Callithrix jacchus: one gene and its partners. The protein of the gene in region 1 interacts with the protein of each later gene in a biochemical or structural test. Links are inferred from orthologs where the notes say so. Each region holds a gene or a part of one and is shown on either strand. Other genes may lie near its edges.

Region 1 (7,574 bases):
ATACTCTGAATGGAGCAGTCAAGGAGGTCATGGCTGTGCCAAGAGTTGCCTCTCTAGGCCCGGTGTGATGGCTTACATCTGTAATCCCAGCACTTTGGGAGGCCAAGGCAGGCGGATCATGAGGTCAGGAGATCGAGACCATACTGGGTAACACAGTGAAACCCCATCTCTACTAAAAATACAAAAAACTAGCCAGACGTGATAGAGTGCCCCTGTAGTGCCAGCTACTCCGGAGGTTGGGGTAGGGGAATTGCTTGAACCAGGTGGGTGGAGGTTGCAATGAGTTGACATTATGCCACTGCACTCTAGCCTGGGCGACAGAGCAAGACTTGGTCTTAAAAAAAAAAAAAAAAAAAAGAGTTGCCTCTCTAATTGCTAGACAGTGGAAATGTCTGGGAGGAGGATCCCAGAGGGGTGGGGCAGAGGGGAAGGGAAGGAAACTTGGGTGGCCTCAGGGCAGTGGCTATGAACCAAGTGTCTTGGAAGGGTTTCAGACTTTAACAACTGATGTAGCCATACCCTGGTGGTCCAGCTAAACCTTGGTCTGCCTTGACCCTCAAGCAGTTGCTGGGCCAGCCCTGGTACCCTTGTCCTTTCATGTTGGGAGAATAATGGACCACCTTCTTTTGTCATCTGCAGGAATGGGGGAAGTGAATGATCTCAAACTGCAAAAATTGCAGTGACCTTGTCTGTTTCAATTTGGGAATGGGCTGCTTCCTGATTGGCTGAGACTGGGCTTTCACTGTGGTGAGAGGGAGCCAGGGGAGGGGTTAGTGAAGGGTTTGGGAACAGGAGAGTAACCTTCTCCTGAGGATAAAGGCAAGGAGGTGATGGGATTGTGAATACTGCTCCCCGGACTCAGACCCAGATGCCAAATAAATCTCATCTCCAGAAACGAAATTACCATACCACCCTGCAAGATTAGCTCTAGCACCCCTGTGGATTTTTTTCCACTGGCTACCTCTAATAGGGGCAGGGTGGGCCCTGGAGGTGAGACAGTCCCTTCTGTCTGCACAAACAACAGTATCAGGCTGCAAGTGCTTCATACTTTTTATTACAAAAATCAATAACTTAATTCAGTTCTGTATAAAGTTGGTAGGACTTCTGGTCCAATGAGCAGCCTAAGCTTTCATTCCCATCCCAAGAAAGGACAGGAGTCTCGGCCCAGAAGCTGTGGGGACCACCAAGAGCCTGCCAGGCAGCTGGAGCACTGTGTCCAAATGAAGGAAGTCCAATGTGGGGTGTGGCTGGCTGTCTATACAGCCTTGCCCCCTCCAGGAGCACTGGGTCACCTCTGGGGATGTCCAGGCTGAATCAGCACTACCAGCCTCTGCCCTCCTGATCTCCGCCTGGGCTGGAGCAGGTCACCTCAGCAAAAGCATGTCCCCAAGAAGGCCAGCGATGTCAACATCTCCAATGATAGGGCGAAAGAAGAGGTCCTCAAGCAGGCTGGTTGGAATGGACTTGAGGGTGGAGGCCATGAGGAGGACACGGGCCAGACGGCCTTGGGCTGCTGGGCACCAGGGCTCCAGGACATCATATAGCGCCCAGTGAGCCTCCTGCTGCAGGTGCTCAATGTGGGAGGAGGCGTGGAGGCCTGGCAAATCTGTGGGCAGAGAGGGAGAAGAGGACTGGTGAGTAACCTATTCCCAGCCACCAAAGGACAAGACTGGCCCCAGATCTGAGCCATCAGAGACACCCCTCTGCCTCCTCTGCTCGGCCTTTGAGGTCTGTCGTGTGAATGTGTCAGGATCTGCAGTACATTGCTGAGTGACTGTATCTAGGCAGTGCTTTTCTGGGCTGTGAGTGGGTGGATAGAGAGTCTTTTAATTTTTATTATTTTATTTTTAATTTTATATATATGTATTTTTTATAGAGAGCATCATTATCATTTCTTTTTCTAAGTATTTGTTATCATTTCTTTCTCTATTTCTTTCTCTCAGACTTCTCTAAGATAGAGAGTCTGTTTCATGGGTCCGTGTACATGTGCCTGAGTTGTACATCTTAGTGTGTGTGGGGGTGGGGGTCCGAGTTGTGTGGTTTGTATTTGTGTCTCAGCTGTGTTTCTGTCTCTATCTGGTGTCTGACTTGTGAGTGAGAGACTGGGTAAGGGAGAGGGTTCCCCTTGCTGCTGGCACTGGGTCACAATAATGGGTACAAGGCCAATCAGCTATAGTTCTAACCTGGGGGGTTTAGAGAATGGCCTGAATGATAACTCCTAGACTATTATCCCCAAGTGAATGGCCTCTTCTTGAGCAATAATTAACTTGGCCCCTGTGAGAAGAATCCAAACTGTGGTGGTGAAGGGGGTGGGGCTGGTCTGGTCAGGGCAGGATTTACTGCCTCCTGTGGAGGAGGTAATTTATTTATTTTCATTTTAGTTATCCATTTATTTATGAAGAGGCAGCATGGAATAATGGTTAAGAATCAGACTTCTGGCTGGGCATGGTGGCTCACGCCTGTAATCCCAGCACTTTGGGAGACCGAGGTGGACGAATCACTTGAGGTCGGGAGTTTGAGACCAGCCTGATCAACATAGAGAAACCCTGTCTCTACTAAAAATACAAAATTAGCTGGGTCTGGTGGCGCACGCCTGTAATCCCAGCTACTTGGGAGGCTGAGGCAGAAGAATTGCTTGAACCTGGGAGGTGGAGATTGTGGTGAGCTGAGACTGGTCCACTGCACTTCAGCCTGAGCAACAGAGTGAGACTCTGTCTCAAAAAACGGTTAGAGCAAGTTTCTCAGGCAGAGTGACAAGGGCCAGTCTCTGGAGTGACTAGACCTGAGTTGCCATCCTAGTCTGTCCCTACCTGGCTGTGTAACCTTCAGCTAGTCACTTAGCTTTTCTGTGCCTCTTCTGTGAGATGGCTATTTGATGAAAATGAGGACCAAGCCAGGTAGGGTGGCTCACACCTGTAATCCCAACACTTTGGGAGGCTGAGGCGGGTAGATCACCTGAGGGGTCAGGAGTTTAAGACCAGCTTGAGCAACATGTCAAAACCCCATATCAACTAAAAAATACAAAAATTAGCCAGGCATGGTGGTGGACGCCTGTAAATCCCAGCTACTCAGGAGGCTGAGGCAGAGGTTGCAGTGAGCCAAGATCATGCCACGGCACTCCAGCCTGGGCAACAGAGTGAGACTCTGTCTCAGAAAAAGAAAGAAGGAAGGAAGGAAGGAAGGAAGGAAGGAAGGAAGGAAGGAAGGAAGGAAGGAAGGAAGGAAGGAAATGAGGACCCAATGAGATAACAAATATCAAATCCTTAGAAGTTAAAAGTTACTTCCCTGGCTGGCCCCTGCTTCAGCCTTGGTCCCCCACCCCAGAAGTGCCTGGGAGCTCACCAGGGTTGAAGAGGATGGTCCCTTTTAGGCAGGCATATTCCTTGGGGCTCAGCTCCAGGCTCCAGAAGGATTCCAGACAGCATTGAAGCCACTGCACGGCAGCCAGCGAGGGCTGGGGTCTGTCCGGCAGCTGGCCACTGCCCCCACTGCTGCTGGGATCCTCCAGCAGAATCTTCTTAAGTATACTGGGCACCGGGGCCTCAGCCACCTCAAAGGTCACAGCGTCTTGGGCCAACCCAAGCAGAAAGAGGGGGCCCCAGCCACCCTGCAGCAGCTGCCGCTTGTCCTGGGGAGGCAGCTGGCAGAAGGATGGCAGGTTCCTGAGGAAGGCCACTGTCTTGGCCAGAACATCCAAGGCCTCCCGGCAGGTGCGATAAGGCGCACATAGCTGGACAGGCCGGTGCTGCCTACACAGGCAGCTACTACGGGGCTGGGGGACAGCCCTGAGGCTGGAGCTCAGAAGTGTGTAGAGAATAGCTGGGCGGCTTGCAGCTCCCTGGCATGGGCAGGCCCCTGGCTGGCTGGTGCTCATGGTTGGGGATCTGCTCTTACTTCCAGCTCTCTGATCCTCTGTTCTGTGCTGTAGGTGCTATTTATATTCCCAGTGAGTGGAAAAGGAGGAATGGCCTGACAACCTTGACTCCAGAAGTCATGTTCATTGAAAAAAACACACAGACACTGCCCCTGGCAGGACTGGTGGGGAAGTGGTGGGGGAGGGGTTTGGGAACCCCACGTGGCGCTGATATCATTTCAGTCAATGAAGTGGCCGGTGCAGGGCACAGGGCTACCTGCCGCTCACTCAGCTGCTGATTATCGGATGACTCAAGTGGATAAACAAGGTCATTAACCCAGGCTGTACCAGGGCACCAAGGCCCCAGGTGCACAATCAGCAGGTGTCCCCATTGGTGGCCGCTCCTGTGTGTACAAAAGATCAGGGCTTTCACTAAGCCAGGAAGCCAGCCCCAGAGCTGGGTGAGCCTTGAATGCAAGGCCCAACCTGGAAGTCCCTTATCACTAGCTTGTTTGCCTAACCTTGGGGCCCTGCTTCTGTTGTCGGCCAGGAGCAGGCTGCAGGGAAGGGAGCCAGGACCCTGAGGGGCTGGGAGGACTTTGCCCGCTTTCCAGTCTAGGAGGCCCCCTTCCTCTGATTCCAGTTCTGGGCCCCATGCAGGAACCCCTATACCCAACCTGATTACTACCACTCCTATATATTTTTTTGAGACGGAGTTTCGGTCTTGTTGCCCAGGCTGGAGTGCAATGGCACGATCTCGGCTCACCGCAACCTCCACCTCCTGGGTTCAAGCGATTCTCCTGCCTCAGCCTCCTGAGTAGCTGGGATTACAGGCATGCACCACCTCGCCTGGCTGATCTTTTGTATTTTTAGTAGAGATGGGGTTTCTCCATGTTGGTCAGGCTGGTCTGGAGCTTCCGACCTCAGGTGATCCACCCACCTCAGCCTCCCAAAGTGCTGGGATTACAGGCGTGAGCCACTGCACCTGGCCTGATTCCTACCACTCCTGAAAGGGCAGATCTGCAGAGAAGAATTTACAGAATTATAATTAAAGATGGTAGCTGGCTGGACATGGTGGCTCATGCCTGTAATCCCAGCACTTTGAGAGGCTGGGGTGGGCAGATCACCTGAGGTCAGGAGTTTGAGACCAGCCTGACCAACATGGCAGGATCCCGTCTCTACTAAAAATACAAAAATTAGCTGGGCATGGAGGCTCGTGCCTGTAGTCACAGCTACTCCAGAGGCTAAGGCAAAAGAATCACTCAAACCCGGGAGGCGGAGGCTGCAGTGAACTGAGATCATGACACTGCACTCTAGCCTGGGTGACAGAGCAAGACCCTGTCTCAAAAAAAAAAAAAAAAAAAAAAAAATATATATATATATATATATGGTTGCCATTCACTGAGCAGCTATTATGTGTCAAGTCCTTCCCACTCTAATATTGGGAGCTTCCCCCTAAGGCTAGATTCTTACTTTGTGAGACTAAAAGAGTTTAAGTGACTTGCCCAAGGTCATCCGACCAGGAAGAGACAAAGCCCAGATCTTGCCGGACTCCAAAGTCCTTGTTTGTTCCCCTGGACCCACTGGCCCAATTGCGCAGCCAGAGCCTGAGATTCCCAGAGCTGGTGGCTAGCTGCCCCACCTTGCTGCTGCCTGCTTTGCAGATGTTGCCCACTTGTGATCTGGATGGATATGTTGCTCTGCTGCCACATGGCTCCTCTGTCCCGGGCATTTTTCTCAGAAGGTGGAGCACAAGGGATGAGAGAGGGTGGAGAGGCCCTCGGTTGTGTCATGTTCCTGGACCTTGGCCAGTTCCAGTGTGGCAAGCCTTCTGCTGCCATGCTGTTGGGCAGCCTGTTGTGCTGGATGGGGAGAAAGAGGCTCTGGCATCACCACTAAAAGATACCAGCCCTGGCATCTGCTCCAGGATCCATCACTTTTCGGTTGAGTGACTTGGGCTGATCCTCGAACCTCTGCGCCACAGGAGCCTCAATGGGACAAGAATGCCTGCCTGTAGGGCTGCCGTGGGACAAAATGAGGTCCTAGCTGTTAAATCCCAAGTAGTTTCTGACATATGGTAGGAGGATTTTTCTGCCCCTTTCCTGTTTGGAGCTGAGCACCAGTGGTCAAACAGGCACACCTCTTTCATTTAATTATTAGTCTTATTCCTTACATTTATTTTATTTTATTTTTTTAGACAAAGTCTTGCTCTGTCACCAAGGCTGGAGTGCAGTCGTGCGATCTTGGCTCACTGCAATCTCCACTCGCTGCAATCTCCGCCTCCCAGTTTCAAGCGATTCTCCTACCTCAGCCTCCCAAGCAGCTGGGACTATAGGCATGCACCACCATGCCCAGCTAATCTTTTTTGTAGTTTTAGTAGAGACGGGGCTTCACTATATTGGCTAGGCTGGTTTCGAACTCCTGATCTTGTGATCCACCTGCCTCAGCCTCCCAAAGTGCTGAGATTATATGCATGAGCCACTGTGGCTGGCCAATTTTTATATTTTTTAGTAGAGACACGTGGTTTTACCACGTTGGCCAAGCTGGTCTCAAACTCTTGACCTCAGGTAATCCACCCACCTCATCCTCCCAAAGTGGTAGGATTACAGTCGTGAGCCACTGCGCCAGGCCAATCCTTACATTTATAAACCACCTTTCATGTCTTTTAATCTCACTGAATCCTCACAGTGTCCCCTTGAAGCAGACTCTGGAATCAGGCTAGCTGGGTCCAAATCCCGCTTCTTCACTTAGCTGAGTGACCTTGGGAAAATCACTTTATCTTTCTGTGCCTCAGTTTCCTTATTTTTAAAATGGTGACAAGCATGTCTAGAGGTGGATATTGGTTTTATCAGGCCTGAAGTTTACGATTTGGAGGACCCTCTTTGAGAAAATAATACATAGTTGGGTGGGGTGGCGCACGCCTGTAATCCCAGCACTTTGGAAAGTTAGGTGAGAGGATCGCTTGAGGTTTCAGTAGTTCAACACCAGCCTGGGCAACACAGTGAGACCTCATCTCTACCAAAAAACATTAGCCAGTGTGGTGGGGCATATCTGTAGTCTCAATCACTTGAGAGGCTGAGGCAAGAGGATGGGAAACATGATGAAACCCATCTCTACAAAAAATACAAAAATGAGCCTGGCATGGTAGTGCACATCTATAGTTCCAGCTACTTGGGAGGCTGAGGTGAGAGGATCAGCTGAATCAGGACTTCAAGCCTGCAGTGAGTTACGACTGTGCCACTGCCCTCCAGCCTGGGTGACATAGTAAGACAGTCTAAAAAAACAAAAACAAAACAAAAGCTCCACACACATAAAACCTGCCCCCAAACCTGAATTTTTTTTTTTTTTTTGAGATGGACTCTCACTCCGTCACCAGGCTGGAGAACAATCTTGGCTTACCTCAACCTCCATCTCCTGTATTCAAGCGATTCTCCTGCCTCAGCCTCCCAAGTAGCTGAGATTACAGGCATGCGCCATCATGCCAAGTTAATTTTTGCATTTTTTTAGTAGAGATGAGGTTTCACCACGTTGGCTAGGTTGGTCTTGATCTGCTGACCTTGTGATCTACCTGCCTTGGCCTCTCAAAGTGCTGGGATTACAGGCGTGAGCCACTGCACCCAGCCCCAAACCCTAAATATTTATATTTATTTGATCAATGTGGTCAGTGGGAACTCTTTCAAACTGGGGTCCATGTCATTTTGGCCCACTTCCATAATTTGTG
Region 2 (7,584 bases), on another chromosome or scaffold:
CCTTTGGAGAAGATAACAAATGCAATGGGTCAGCCCCTGGGAAAATGCAAGTGTGTGTGCCACACATGCCACACACAAGCACACACACACACCATACAGTCCACACACATGCACACAGACACACACCACACACTCACATACACATGCACGTACACACACGAACACACACCACAGTCCACACACACGCCACATACACACATGCCACACACAAACACACACACACCATACAGTCCACACACATGCACACAGACACACGCCACAGTCACATACACATGCACGCACACAAACACTACAGTCCACATACACCACAGTCCACACACACACACCACAGTCCACACATATGCACACACACACACACCACACAGTCACATACACATGCACACACACACACACACCACACAGTCACATACACGTGCACACACACAAACACATACCACAGTCCACATACATCACACAGTCCACACACACATGCACCACACAATCCACACATATGCTCACAGACACACACCACAGTCACATACACACACGCACACGAACATACACCACAGTCCACATACACTACACAGTCCACACACAACCACACACCATAGAGTCCACATGCACATGCACACACACAGGTGCACATATGCGCACACACACACAGGTACATATACCACAGTTCACACACATGAAGACACACACCACATACCACACACACACCACAGAGTCCACACACAACCATACACATGCACACACCCATACAGTCCACACACACATGAACATACACATTCACACACATGTACACACGTGCACACAGACACAGTCTACACATGCACACACAGCACACACATGAACATACAACATACACATATCAACACATGTACACACATATACATACATGCACATACTCCACACACATATACGCACATGCACACCTATGCACAGACACATACACACATGCACACACACACACACACACACACACGTGTATTCATAGAAATCCTAAATCGGACCTTGTATTCCTCAGGGTCATCCAGTTAAGACCTGGAGAGGGCCACGCGCTGTAGGTAACAGCATAGCCCCTGAAGGCCTTCTGCCCAGGGTTCAATCCCAGCCTGCCCACTTTTTAGCCATGTGACGTTGGCTGTGTTCATTTACTTCTCTATGCCTTTGTATCCTCACTTGTAAAATGGGAAACATGACATTCTCCCAGGTTTGTTATGGGGATTTGGTGAATTCTCATATGTGTATGTGAAGTGCTTACCACATGGTAAGCACTATATTAGTGTTTGTGAAATAAAAACTTTTCTGCAGAAGAAAACTCTCAGAGCAGAGGACTTCCAGGCTCCGTGCACAAGCAGGCACTGGTGCGTCTCATTTCTGCCATCGCAGACTCCCGGGTGTCCCCAGGAGTGCGGCCCCCCTCCACTTGGTGAATTATTCCTGGAGATGGCGATAATTGTTAAGCCGCATGGGTGCCCTTTCTCCCTCAGCCTCTCCTCCCCCGACCCCAGGGAGAGCTGACCCCACAGCTCCTGGCTGTTCAGCAGGAGGCTGGGGAAGGAGCGCCCACCTCAGGGACAGAATGGGCTGGGGGCTGTCAGCTCTATCAACTCCCCTCTGAGGTCAGCCGAGCACCTCCATTCCACAGATGAGGACACTGAGACTTAGAGAGGACAAGTGGCTTCCTGGTGTCACACTGCTTGCAGTGAAGCCGAGGCATGGGCTTATGGTCCAGGTGTGCTGGGCTACTCCAGCCAGAGCCACATGTGTTGAGGTGTCTGCTGGGGCCTCTAATGAACAAGGAGCCCCGGGGCTGCTGCTGCATTGGGGTAGGGAGTGGATGGGGAGAAATATCCTTTGAACATTTGAACTACTAGCCCAGGATGTACCCAAAACACTTTGGAGGACAACGTCACATAACCCCAATTCAGAACACTTCAAACTCCAGCAAGGAATACTGGGGACCCTGCTTAAGATGCTCAGAGCCCTTGAGATGACCCATGTTGGGGCCAGGACCCTTTACCAGGGTCAGCACCCAGGCACCTTATCTTTATCCTCTGGCCAGCCCTGGCAGACAGACACTATTACGGCTTCCCATCTTATAGATGAGGAAACTGAGACTCAGAGAGGAAACTGCCTTGCCACGTTCACACAGGTTGGAAGGATCCATGCCTGATTTGAGTCCAGATCTTTCTGGTTCCAGAGCTGGAGGTGGTCTTGTCTTTGGGGCACCCAGTTCAGGGGCTTGGCCTCTGCCTCAGGAGCACACAGTTCCCAGGCTTTGAAAAAGTGATGGGGGCGGGGAGCAGCCAGGGTAGGGCAGTGACCCTCCTGGGGACACACTGCACTCTGCCTCGTGTGGCAGCAACTTGTTTAGCATCTCCAGGGCATTTTCGCCTTGAGCTCCTCGAGTGGTCCTCAGACAGGGCTAAACAACTGGCCAGCCACCAGGCCTGGGGGAATGAAGCCTGTTTTGTAGAAGATACAGAAGCCAGGAGAGGGGAGGTGACATGCCCAAGGTCACACAGTAACTGGACTGCAGGGGCAGTCGAACACTTGCTGAGCTGACCACAGGCAGTGCCCAGCAGCTGCCTCCTCACTCTAGCAAAGCTGACCACAAGCTTCCAGGCCTCAGCGGGAACTGCAGGCTGATACTGGCTGTGTGGCTCCAAGACACAGAAGGAAGAGGGGTGGCAGGCTGACCTCAGCTAGCTGCCTGCCCCCTCTCCTCTGAGGCTGGCCTGGGACCTGATGGGGCCCTTCCCTCCAGGAGGGGTTTCCAGACACCCTCCTTTCCCCTACCTCCCTGTGGAGGAGAACGGCCCATCCCTCCAGATATGCTCCAGTGATGTCAGAGTGGAAACATGAATCTGGAGAGACACGCCGGCAACAAAATCTGCTCAGAGATTAACAGACACGTTGCTGATGTGAAGCTCACTTGGTGAACGGCAACAACAGAATCCTGCACTTGGGTCTGGCATTCATGCACACTAGAGACCGCTGACCTCACCTGAGGTACAGGGGGCTGCATATGCACACAGCAGGTACAAATATGGGCACACGACAAAACGCCCACACAGGATAAGCATGCAGGAAGAACAGCACTCCAACAGGTCTGCATGCACAAACACATGTCCTGTATGACCCCCACACAGCACACATATACAAACATCCACAGACACACGTACACCCAGTCACTTACATGCACAAGCAAGATCGACACGGGCACCTCCTAGAGACACAAACACAGACCCACTCAATAAATACAAAGGGAAATAGGCACAGAACTCACACACAGAGACAAATGAACACACATATGCAAATGTGTTCCTGGAGGCATCACCCCACCCATACAACTTACACGGAAACTCATGATCACACACGAACACACACACAACACAACACACACAGTGCTGAGCTGGATTTTAGTTAGCAAAACTTCCCTGAGAACCCCATTTTCCCTAAGTGCCAATTCCCCTAGGGAAGTCCCAAAGACACCGAGAAATGCAGATATATGTCTCCAACCACCATCCTCCAGGGACACAATGCCCCTTGCCATCTCTCTGAACCTAGGCCTGAGGGGTTCAAGAAGGGGCTGTGCCAGGCTGAATTGCTGGAGCTGGGCACCGAAAGGGACCTCACCATCACGTCAGTGTGCCAAACTCCAAGCAGAGCCGCTGCAAGACAGTGGGGACCGGAAGGGCCTGGGAGGAACAGCTGGGGTTGACTTCTGCTGGAAATTGGCCCTTGCAGGCCTCCCTTCACCCGGAATGCCTGTGATCACTGTACCTGGGCACACCGGCTTCACCTGGCAATACCTGTGCTAGCCTGTAGGACCAACCTACTATTTTCTATCATTCTCCTCCCACCCCAAAGTTGAGTACCAAAGATTCGCTCCTGTACCCAGGCATACCTGCCCCACTGGCACACCTGGGCACACCTGCCCCCACCTACCATTGCCCATCGTCAACACCTGCACATTCTCAAATTCCAGGGTTGTGTAGGCTGGGTCCAGTGCAGCACTGTAGTCGGCCATGTCCATGTCGACGAGGGTTTTGGAGAGGCGCATTCTCCCCTGCCTCCACGCCACAGCCACCTGCCCTGCCCTGGGCGCCCACCCCGAAGGCTGAGCCCCAGCCCCCGCCCTCCGCCCTCCCACTGCCTCCTCCCAGTGCCCTCTCTGCCTTTCTTTCAAACCGTCCTCTGGGAAGATCTGCTGGGAGTCTAGGCCTAGCCTCTGCGGAGGGGTGGAGGCTCTGCCAGGGAGGGGTGGGGGTTAATGGTTAATCGGTCCCCCGCCGGTAAATAGGCTGGGCGGGGCTGCAGGGATTTGGCTGTTTGTTGGTTTCTGGCTGACACCCGGAGTGCTAATTACAACTGTTGGGGCCCTAACTCACCGATACTCAGTTATCAATTGTACAAGGCAGGCATCGTAACTCACGGTCACTCATTTGACCCTTGACTCAGCCGCCCCTCCAAGCCATTGTCATCCTAAGTCGGACATTCTAACTGATACTATCAGGCACTGACAGCCTCCCTCCGAGATCCCCTCATTCAATAACTTCCCAAATCATTGACTTCTACCCTCAATGCTCTTGTAGAGATAAGGCTGCCCCATGGCCCATGATTTAGAAACCTAAATCCCAGGCCTCAGATGTCAATCTTCTGGATCCTTGTTCTGGGAGCTCCCTTCAGTTCCCCTGCAGTTTCCTGGGAGCAGAATGGACTGGAAGGCTGGGAGGGCCAGACTCACCTCCAATTCCCCAATCCTGCTCCCTAGGACCCCACCCTGTGCCCCACCATCTCCCACAGCTCCTGGAGTTTCTGGCCCAGACAGACTCCATCTCAGATTTTCCCTTCATGTTCTCCTGTTTCCCTCACTCTCACCCCCTCCCAGAGCAGAGAGAGACCTGGATTTACATTCAGGCATCTACCATCTGCTAAGTGGGACCTTGGGTAAATGATTCTCCTCTCTGAGCCTCAGTTTCCTTCTCTGTAAAATGTACAATCAACCTCAAAGAGTGGTTTGAGAAAGAAATGAGACGGCATAAAAAACACCAAGTGGGACCTGGCAGACATCCATCCTCTTCCTCCTCCCTCTCCCTGTTCTGTATCCCCCTTTCCATCCCTCTGTTTCTCTCCACCTGCCTCCTATCTTCAAAGTGGGCTTTGTGGGGGGATCGCCAGAGCAGTCACAGGCAGCCCAACCCTTAGAGAGTCCTGGTGCCGGGTTTGGTGCTCTGCTGTGGTTGTCTGAAAATTCATCATCACTTTTGAACAAGGGGTTTGATTTTTGTTTTGGACGAGGTCCTGCAAATTACACAGCTGGTCCTGCCTGTCGAAGCTCATGGTACACTCTGTTCTTCTCATTCCTCCAGCCCTCATTGCATTCTGTGCAGACACTTTCAAGAGCTGCTAATCTACCTGGAAGTAAAGTCTCGATGTAGAGGGCAGAGGAAGGAATGCCTGAGACCTGGGAGCCTGTCCTCTGCTACTGGCTGCAAGGGCAGGTTGGAGGGACTCGGTGACACCTGTGAGCAAGAGTGAGTGAATGAGTGAGAGCACCAGTTAATGAGTGAGTGGGGGGTTGGGAAATTAATGAGTGGATGAATTAGAAGCGAGTGAATTCGAGACAAGGTGAATTAATGAGTAAGTTGAGTGAATACATGAATTGAGTGAGTGAATGAATGAATGAGAGTAAATTACTGAGTATGTGAATGAGTGAATCGGTGGGTGAATGAATGAGTGAATGAGCAAATGGGTAGGTGAATTAATGAGTGGGTGAATTAGTGAGTGAATGAATGATTGAATGTATGGGTGAATTAATCAGTTAGCAAATCGGGAGTCAGGGCATGTGTGTTTGACAGGTATGAGGAGGCATCCTCTCCATTCTTCCCACTGCTGGAAGCCCTTTCTCTGCCCTGCTTGGCTTTATTCTCCCCACTTGATTTGACCTCTGAAGCTGAAATGATGTAGGGGGCTGTGTGCTGTTTCCTACAGGGAAAGGGGAGAGGGAGCAACTGTTCTGGAGGAGAAGAGAGGCTAGATTTGGTGCCAGGAGACCTGGGTTTAGGAACTAGCTCAGTCACTATTCCAATAGATTTATTTACATCTATCTCTTCTCAGGGCCTCAATTTCTCCCTCTGTAAAATGGAAAGATGACCCTGGCTTAGTTTTCTACTGGCCAGGAGAAGGCTTTGAGGGAGGGAGCAAGAGGAGCCCCAACAACCCACACTTTGAGATTTTATAAGGGGCTGAAAGAGACCAAATGCTGGTGGGTTTCTCCCATGCCTACCTCAGGAATATCTGATCTGGCTCCACCGGCCTTGGGGGAAGTGCAGCAGTGGGCAGAAAGGGAAGATCTGACTAAGGGATCAACACAGAAGAGAAGTGGAGGGCAGCTCCGGGAGGAGCCTCCAGGAGCCCAGCCCAGGTCCCTGCCACCTGCCTGGCACCTATGGCAGGCCACAGGCAGAGCTACTGCCCACACAACCCAGTAATACATGGCCTCATCCACTCTGAGGCACACTTCCACATTGCTTAAAGAGAAATGTGAGGCTGGGTGTGGTGGCTCATGCCTGTAATCTCAGCAGTTTGGGAGGCCGAGGCAGGCAGATCACCTGAGGTCAGGAGTTTGAAACCAGTCTGACCAACATGGAGAAACCCCATCTCTACTAAAAATACAAAATTAGGCGTGGTGACCCATGCCTATAATCCCAGTGACTCAGGAGGCTGAGGCAAGAGAATCACTTGAACCTGGGAGGCGGAGGTTGCGGCGAGCCGAGATAGAGCCATTGCACTCCAGCATGGGCAACAAGAGCGAAACTTTGTCTCAACAACAACAAAAAAAGTGGGGGTATGTGATCAATGGCATGTCAGAATTTCATTGTTAACAAAAATAACAATGCATTTTTCTATAGAAGATGTCTTAGAATCAATCAAATAAGGTCTAGAATCAACACCATGCCACAGCCTTGGCCCGTTATACACAAGAACTACGAGGTAGACAGCCTGCAAATGATGAGCTGCTAGATCTATGAACCACAACATACCTGACTTACCAAATGCTCAACCTGCATGACTGCCTAGGAGGTACGTTCTAGATTCACACCCACCACATTATAACCTGCCCCGTAAGTAAATCTATCCACTCATTATGGAAATTGCATAACCTCTTACATACATGAGTCATCCCACCCTTAGTCAACGCCGAACGGTATGTTCTAGATACACATTGCTCATATAAACGATGCACCACCTATAAGATCTGCTGGCTCTGTGACCTCAGGCAAGCAATTATTTCTTTTGTTCTTGTTGTTCATTGTTACTGCATAGTTTATCTAAACCAGGCTAGGATAATACAGAGAAAACTGAGGTGGCCACTGCCCAGAACCCTTGTGGATTACAGATGCAAAGTAGCCGGAGATGTGTCCTTACACCCACAGTTCAGTAACAGACAGACAAGTCAGTTACATTTACATAAGTATAGAGAACTTAATATACATGACATTGCATATCCATCTTTTTGGTTTATATTTCCATTTTAAACATATGTATGTCACCACTTTATATTTTAAATATGACTCCATGTATTTTGTGACA
Region 3 (6,853 bases), on another chromosome or scaffold:
TGTTTTAAAATTCAAGCAACATACTTTACTGACATACTTTAATATTGTATTTTAGGGTCTCAAGCAAAAATATCAGAGTCTCAGCAGCTCAAACTCTCAATAATTCTTTACTCATTTCTACAACTCTAACAGGTACTGAATTCAGAAGGGTAATAGAGTTAAGGTAAAACAGGCAGAAAATTGAGACATCCTTTAGTCTCTGTAAGGAGAGGCAAGTTCAAATATTTAGAAGCCAGGTAGGTAATGCAAACTGTGCAAGCACAAAAAAAGAAACGATGATGCAGGCCCAATGATAGATGTCAAAATGCTACCTGGCCTCTATGTTGGGGAGACAACACCAGGGGACTTGGCAAACAGAATACCTTCCTTGTCTAAAGGTGAATCAGATTTTTTTTTTTTTTGCTATGTAGGTCTAGTGGTCAAAGGCTCCCAGATGCTTTACTTTAAAAACTAGTAAGAGGCCAGGTGTGGTGGCTCTAGCCTGTAATCCCAGCTACTCAGGAGGCTGAGCAGAATTGCTTGAACCTGGGAGGTGGCGGTTGCAATAAGCTGAGATTGAGCTACTGCACTCCAGCCTGGGCAACAAAGCAAGACTCCATCTCAAAATAAAATGGTAAAAATCCAGATTTTTAGCTGGTATCTCTGTACTGAGATGGCGGTCTCTTAAAATTATAAGCATGAACCAATCAAAATAGATCTGTGGCCTGAAGACAGCCAACATGGGATATCTGATTTAACTGAACATTTATAATACATATGGATAAATTTGGAAAACTCCCTAATCACACTGCATACTCAAAAGCTTCTTTAAATTCCCTATATTGCAAAACCAGTTCGAATTTCTGCAGAACTCCTTTCTCTAGTTCCCTTAGATGACTCACACACTCCTCCCTCCCTCTCTCTCTCTCTTTTTTATTCTCTATAAATACAAGTAAGTACTTACAATTTTCATTGTCTCTCAGGTTACTGCCTATTTTTAAGAGAGAAAAACAACTGAGTCAATTGCAGAGCCCAGGTTTTTCTCCCCAACATTAGCCTTCGGATGCAACAGGGAGTTTCCTACCCCACCTCTTGCGCCCTACTCAGTTCCAGAGACAAACAGAATCACAACCTTCTAGTTAGTAGACCTCAGATTTTTTTTCAAGAGTTTATCTTTCCTAGTAAAGGTAAATTTTCCTGGTAAAGAAAAAGATCTGGAGGTAAATACAAGCAGCCACTTTATTGTGCACTAGCATACCCCCACCCATGATAATTTACATCATGCATGCAATTAATTATCTGGCTACACTCATCTGACTGCTGCTACAGGCTGAGAAAGCAGTGGAAGAGATCGTAGGATTAAGAAATTTAAGCACCAACATTTTACTTCCACCATCTCTCCCTCCCAACTCAGCTAATGTCTGAGCAATTTTGATCATCCTTGTCACACTCCTATCTTTTACAGATCCCTCTCCCCAAAAGACAGATGACCGTAAAATAAATTAGGCTCTGAGTGGTCCTGTTGCATTGGATATATGTTCTTTACTGCTACAATGGAGCAGAAGCATCTGGAATCTTTTTACTGATCATAAAACCTGCTGATAAACTCATTTTGCTGAGCATAGCCTTCTGATGTAATTACACTCCTAAAACTTCAGCATCTTAGTAAGATAACCACAGCAACATACTCATTGACAGGGCAGGTTTTCCTAGACCAGCAAATTCTTATAGGTAAAAACTTAATTTACAAAATTTAATTTCCAGAAACAAATTTGTGAATTAGATATCTTAAGCTGGATCATTTTCCCTTAATACTAATTAAGTTTAAATCAAGTGGTTGCAATAATACATACAATAAAAAGTAGTATACAGAGAAAGTATGTATGCAATACGATCAACCAAACAAAATACACAGAACAAGAAATTTTATTATCTCCAATGCTGGTGCATAACAAATAACAAGCTTAAGAGGAGGAGACAGAGGGAGGGAAACTTCAGATTACAAGGTAATTTTTGGGCAGGTTTAAAACCTTTAAGAGTTGATAGAATAACTGTTCATAAAGTCTTTTTAGATATAGGGCTTTTTACTTGACAACTTTTATTAACAGTTCTTACAATATGAAGTTCAACTAAAGTCTTTCACCCGTCAAGTCAAAACAGCAAGCAAAACAAAATTTCTCTAGTATATAACAGCGTTAGAAATGGTTTTTCTTTGTACATTCACACACAATGTCTAGATTTGAAACTTTTAAATTAAGGATGTCTTAATTTTTGACTTTTAAAAATGGTCTTGACAATGGATTTTCTTGATTTATAGATCACAGTGGCTTTATAAATGATCAAGATACGTGTACAAACAAAATTTCAAATGCTTTTGGAAACACATCTTAAGACATATAGCACGTGATATATATTTGAGTTTGCTCATCCTTTTGGGATAATGAAGACTACTCCATTTATCTTACACTGAAAATTTAGCCTTTGATAACTATGGCTTGAACAGATCACAAAATAGAATTTTCCAAGTTTTCTTAAGCTTTCAGTCCAAATAACTCAAAAGATATGTGTCCTAGTTGGATACATTTTTTTCTCATATAATCAGTATCAGTGGGCTCTTGTCTTGGTTTGTCTTGGTCATGACTTATTCTTGCAAAACCATCTTTACAGCAAAACAAATATGAAAGATATTTTCCCCAATGCAAGGAAAATAATCTGGATCAATAACAAAGTCAAAGCCATTGGTGTTTTAGGACATTCTTGAGAACAGACTTCAACAGTCTAAACATCATTTTTTCTTTAATGATTCTCTTCTTTTTTCACAACTGTACAGTCACTATCCTATTGTCTTCTATTCTGAAAAACACATTTTTTTGAAGGTCAAGTTTTTCAATGGCACAGAACTATTTGGAATGAACCCAAAAGATACCGGAAAGTTGGGTCCCTCCTCAAGTAGTTTCCTCCTCTTTTAACAGCATGTAACTACTCTCTATCAATAATCTCATCACAGCCGAGTTCTTCGGTCAGACGATTGACAACCATCAGTGAAAAAAGCTCTTCGATGAAAGCTAACTGATCAAACGGGGTCTTCTCATAATGCATCTGAAACCCGCCATCCAGGGCTGCTTCTCTTGCTCTGGTTGTTCTCAGAAACATCTTGTTGGCTTCTTCGAGAGCTGCTGATACTCGGTAGCCGGCACCACTAAGCTGCTCCTCTTCCGGATAGTCGTAGTCGTCCTCCCAGTCATCAAATTCCTCGCCCTCGTCTTCGCTCTCGAAGTCTGCGCCCGCCACCTGGCCTGGCTGCTCCCCAGCGTTGGGCCCGTTAGCAAGGCTCCGCTTCCCCTCTGGCGCCGCCATTGGCTGGGCCGCCTCCTCCTCCATTGGGCCTTCCTCCTCTAGCTGTGGCGGGGCCCGGTTGCGGGAGGGACGCAAGGATAGCTCCCGGCTCCCGCTGCCTACCTCCATCTGCGGAAGGTCACCCTCGCCAGGCATCACATCCATCTGCAGGTCACTGTTCTCCTCATACAGCTCAGACAGCTCGGCCATTTCCGACATTGTGCAAACCGCTCAACCTCTCGGAAAAAGCTTTCAGCAAGATAGAAACTGCGCGGTCGTGCGCCTGTGCGCGTGCGCAAAGTCTGTGAGCTTGCGTAACCACTCGCGCAGGCGTAGTCGTCAGGTACCGCCTCCTACTTGGCGCTCCACTGCGATTGGAGGCAGTCAATGTTTTTCCCCGGGTGTTAGCGTCGCTTTTGAGCTGGGTTTCCACCTATTAGAGCTTCGTAACTAGGGATCCTGCTTGCAAAAGCATTACAGTTTCTGTGTTACTTAACCATCCTGCTGCTCGTGATGCTGCAAACTGTTAAATAACCTAACGTGGCTTTTTTAACACCTGATGCTTCTCCCCTCCTTTCTTCCTCCTCCTTTGGGCAGTTTATCTATGTGCTGATGACTTCTAAATCTACATCTCCAAATCAGACAACATCCATAACCACAGATCAGCATATTAAGAACTAATTCATTCTGCCGTTTTAGTGTTGTCATTACAATAGTTGTATTCACAAACAACAGAAACGTTGTACTTTTTTTTTAAGTTAGCCTGAAGAAATATTTGGTTCCATTTCTTTTCTCCTGAAAGGTATCTTTCCGCTATTATCAATGCGGTGTGTATTCTTTAAATTCTTTTTATTTGCGTTTACATGTATCTTTATGTATTCATAGAAAAAAATACTATTTTGTGTGTTTTTTAAAAACATGTCTTACCTATCTTCAACTTAAAAGCTGAATCTTTTGTGTATACCTCTATGAATTATAGGACTATGTATACTAACATGATTCAAGCACATTTCGTTTATTCTCTTTATTTCTATTATTATTACATTGGAGTATATAATGAAATAATTATACAACTCCCCATAATGTAGAATCAGTGCGAGCCCTGAGCTTCTTTTCCTGCAACTGGACAGTCCCATCTGAGAGTGATGAGACACAGTGACACCCGAGGTGTGTTGCTTATGTCCAGTCTATTCTGTAATCTCGTTTTGGTTGCTGCTACTGCAGAAAACCCTGCCTCACAAAGATAGAATGTTGGAAATGGAAGCAGGCTTTTCAGTAATTTTGTGGCAATCTCAGGATATTCCTCCTTGACTTAAATGAGAACATATAGAATGAGGCCAGCGTCATCCTGATACCAAAAAGAAAAAAAAAAAATCGAACGTATAGAGATTTGAAGTCTCAAACATACTTTTAAGGCCTCTGTCATTTTCAATATCAAGCAGTTGATCCTCTTCTAGCATGACAAAGTGGATTCACCTGGATTATTCGCAAAAGGGTCACAGATCCATTCTGTCTTTTGTGAATGGGAAGTGTGATGGTTAATACTGAAATTCAACTTGATTGGATTGAAGGATACTAGGTATTGATCCTTGGTGTGTCTGTGAGGGTGTTTCCAAAGGAGGGTAAACATTTGAGTCAGTGGGCTGGGAAATGCGGACCCACCCTTAAGCTGGGTGGGCACAATCTAATCAGCTTGGTTAGAATATAAGCAGCCAGAAAAATGTGAAAAGAGAGACTGGCCTAGCCTCCCAGCCTACATCTTTCTCCCATGCTGGATGCTTCCTGCCCTCGAACCTCAGACTCCAAGTTCTTTAGTTTTGGAACTCAGACTGGCTCTCCTCACTCCTCAGCCTGCAGTCCCTATTGTGGGACCTTATGATAGTGTAAGCTAATACTTAATAAACTCTTCTTTATATACATGTATATATCTATTCTATTAGTTCTGTCCCCTTAAAGAACCCTGACTAATACAGGAAGTAATGTTCAAACTCTTTTGAAAGCTGAGATAGGTAATCATGCACCAGCTGGGAGAAGAAGGTCCTGGCTCAGTCTCTTTCAAAATCTGCTAATGTTTGAGATGGCAGAAATCCCAGTGTTCATTTGTCACCTCCGTGTTTCCAGTTTGGCTTCAAATGCAGCCATTTTATCTGCCAACTTGAACACAGTTGTCATTCTTTCCTGAAGTGACAGAGTTCATTGAGCAGGTTGACGATGCCATACAAGTAAGCAAGTTTTGTGACCCATTTGATGTCATGAAATGTGCTGCTAGTGGGACTGTTTTTCTCAAAAGAAGGCTCTGAAGCAGCTCTCTTAACTCAAAAACTCCAGTCAGTGATGTACATTTAGAAAGCCATGTCACTTCTGTGTATAAGAGAAGATGCATGTGCTCGGCGTGCATCTCCTCACAGAGCTGCGCAAACAGATTGAGTTAAGGGCATGTATAATGTAGTTGATAATTTTAATCACATACTGCAAAACTTTGTTAAGTTCGGGTGACATTTTCCGGCTAGCCAGCATTTCTCCATGGAATACAATGCATAGACTCACATTCAGAAGCGGCCTCTTTGACATGAGTAGTGAAACCAGAATGCCGTCCAGTCATGGCAGCTGCTCTACCTGTGCATATACCAACACAAAATGACTGATTCCATTTCATGATACGTAATCATTCAAAGACTTGAATAGTTCTGCAGCCGTGGTACCGGTTGGCAACAAAAGTGCGTATAATATATCCTCATTCACATCCTCTTGAAAAATACATCACACACAAAAAAGCATGTTGCTTTGTTGTCGGCATTGGTAGACTCATCAACCTGGATTGCACACCATGGTGACTCATTAATCCTCTCTAACAATTGTGCCTTATCCTGTAATATTTCATCAATTCATCGAGTTGTGGTGCTAGCCAAAAGATAAACACATGCTACCTTTTGAACTGCAGCCTCTCTTAAAAATTCATGACAAATGTCCTTAGCAGCAGGAAAGATCAACTCTTCACCAATAGCAAAGGGCTTCTTAGCTTTAGCAATGTGGTTAGCCACTAAGAATGATGCTCTCAGTGCAGACAAACTGATGGAGTGGTGGCCTTCAATAATTTCTTCTCTTCTTTGTTTTCACATTTTTTTCTTTTGAAAAACCTCAAAGGCTTATTATTAATGTAGGGTGCTTGGTCTCCATGTGACAAAGCAGTTTCATGGCTTTGTTGCATAGCCACTTGTCACATATTATACAAAGTGAACTTGGAGAATGTGAATCACCTGTTGCAATGAACTGGTATTGTAAGTAGGAATTCTGGTATTTTCTTTTAAATGCAGCTTTCTTTTTGTTGGCAGTCTTAAAGTCTTCTGCTGCCTCATCACTGGATCTTTCTCCCTTTTCAAAGAAGCTCTCCTTTCTACTCATTTTGGCTAGGGTGAGTTAATGGGCTTACCAAAACTGTTACTGAGAAAGTGCACAGTGCAGGAAAGGGCATGGATGAAAGTGGTAAATAAAATAATGGGCAGGCCAGGCACAAACTACAATAAATACTGGATTCCGA

The links. The genes of interacting proteins can lie anywhere in the genome.
Region 2: the proteins of NR0B2 (region 1) and HNF4A form a complex in vitro, tested with the Homo sapiens proteins (4 studies listed by BioGRID). The link is inferred for Callithrix jacchus from reciprocal best matches to the Homo sapiens genes NR0B2 and HNF4A.
Region 3: the proteins of NR0B2 (region 1) and EID1 form a complex in vitro, tested with the Homo sapiens proteins (3 studies listed by BioGRID). The link is inferred for Callithrix jacchus from reciprocal best matches to the Homo sapiens genes NR0B2 and EID1.

Annotation. Positions count from the first base shown.
Region 1 is NC_133508.1:63,564,038-63,571,611, forward strand, and holds NR0B2 (nuclear receptor subfamily 0 group B member 2), read right to left. Parts: upstream 3,912-7,574; 5' UTR 3,875-3,911; coding exon 3,343-3,874; intron 1,607-3,342; coding exon 1,365-1,606; 3' UTR 1,039-1,364; downstream 1-1,038. UniProt on the Homo sapiens protein: Transcriptional regulator that acts as a negative regulator of receptor-dependent signaling pathways. Specifically inhibits transactivation of the nuclear receptor with which it interacts.
Region 2 is NC_133506.1:39,746,856-39,754,439, reverse strand, and holds the start of HNF4A (hepatocyte nuclear factor 4-alpha), read right to left. Parts: upstream 4,188-7,584; 5' UTR 4,052-4,187; coding exon 3,937-4,051; intron 1-3,936. UniProt on the Homo sapiens protein: Transcriptional regulator which controls the expression of hepatic genes during the transition of endodermal cells to hepatic progenitor cells, facilitating the recruitment of RNA pol II to the promoters of target genes. Activates the transcription of CYP2C38.
Region 3 is NC_133509.1:36,623,043-36,629,895, reverse strand, and holds EID1 (EP300-interacting inhibitor of differentiation 1), read right to left. Parts: upstream 3,620-6,853; 5' UTR 3,535-3,619; coding exon 2,959-3,534; 3' UTR 1,888-2,958; downstream 1-1,887. UniProt on the Homo sapiens protein: Interacts with RB1 and EP300 and acts as a repressor of MYOD1 transactivation. Inhibits EP300 and CBP histone acetyltransferase activity.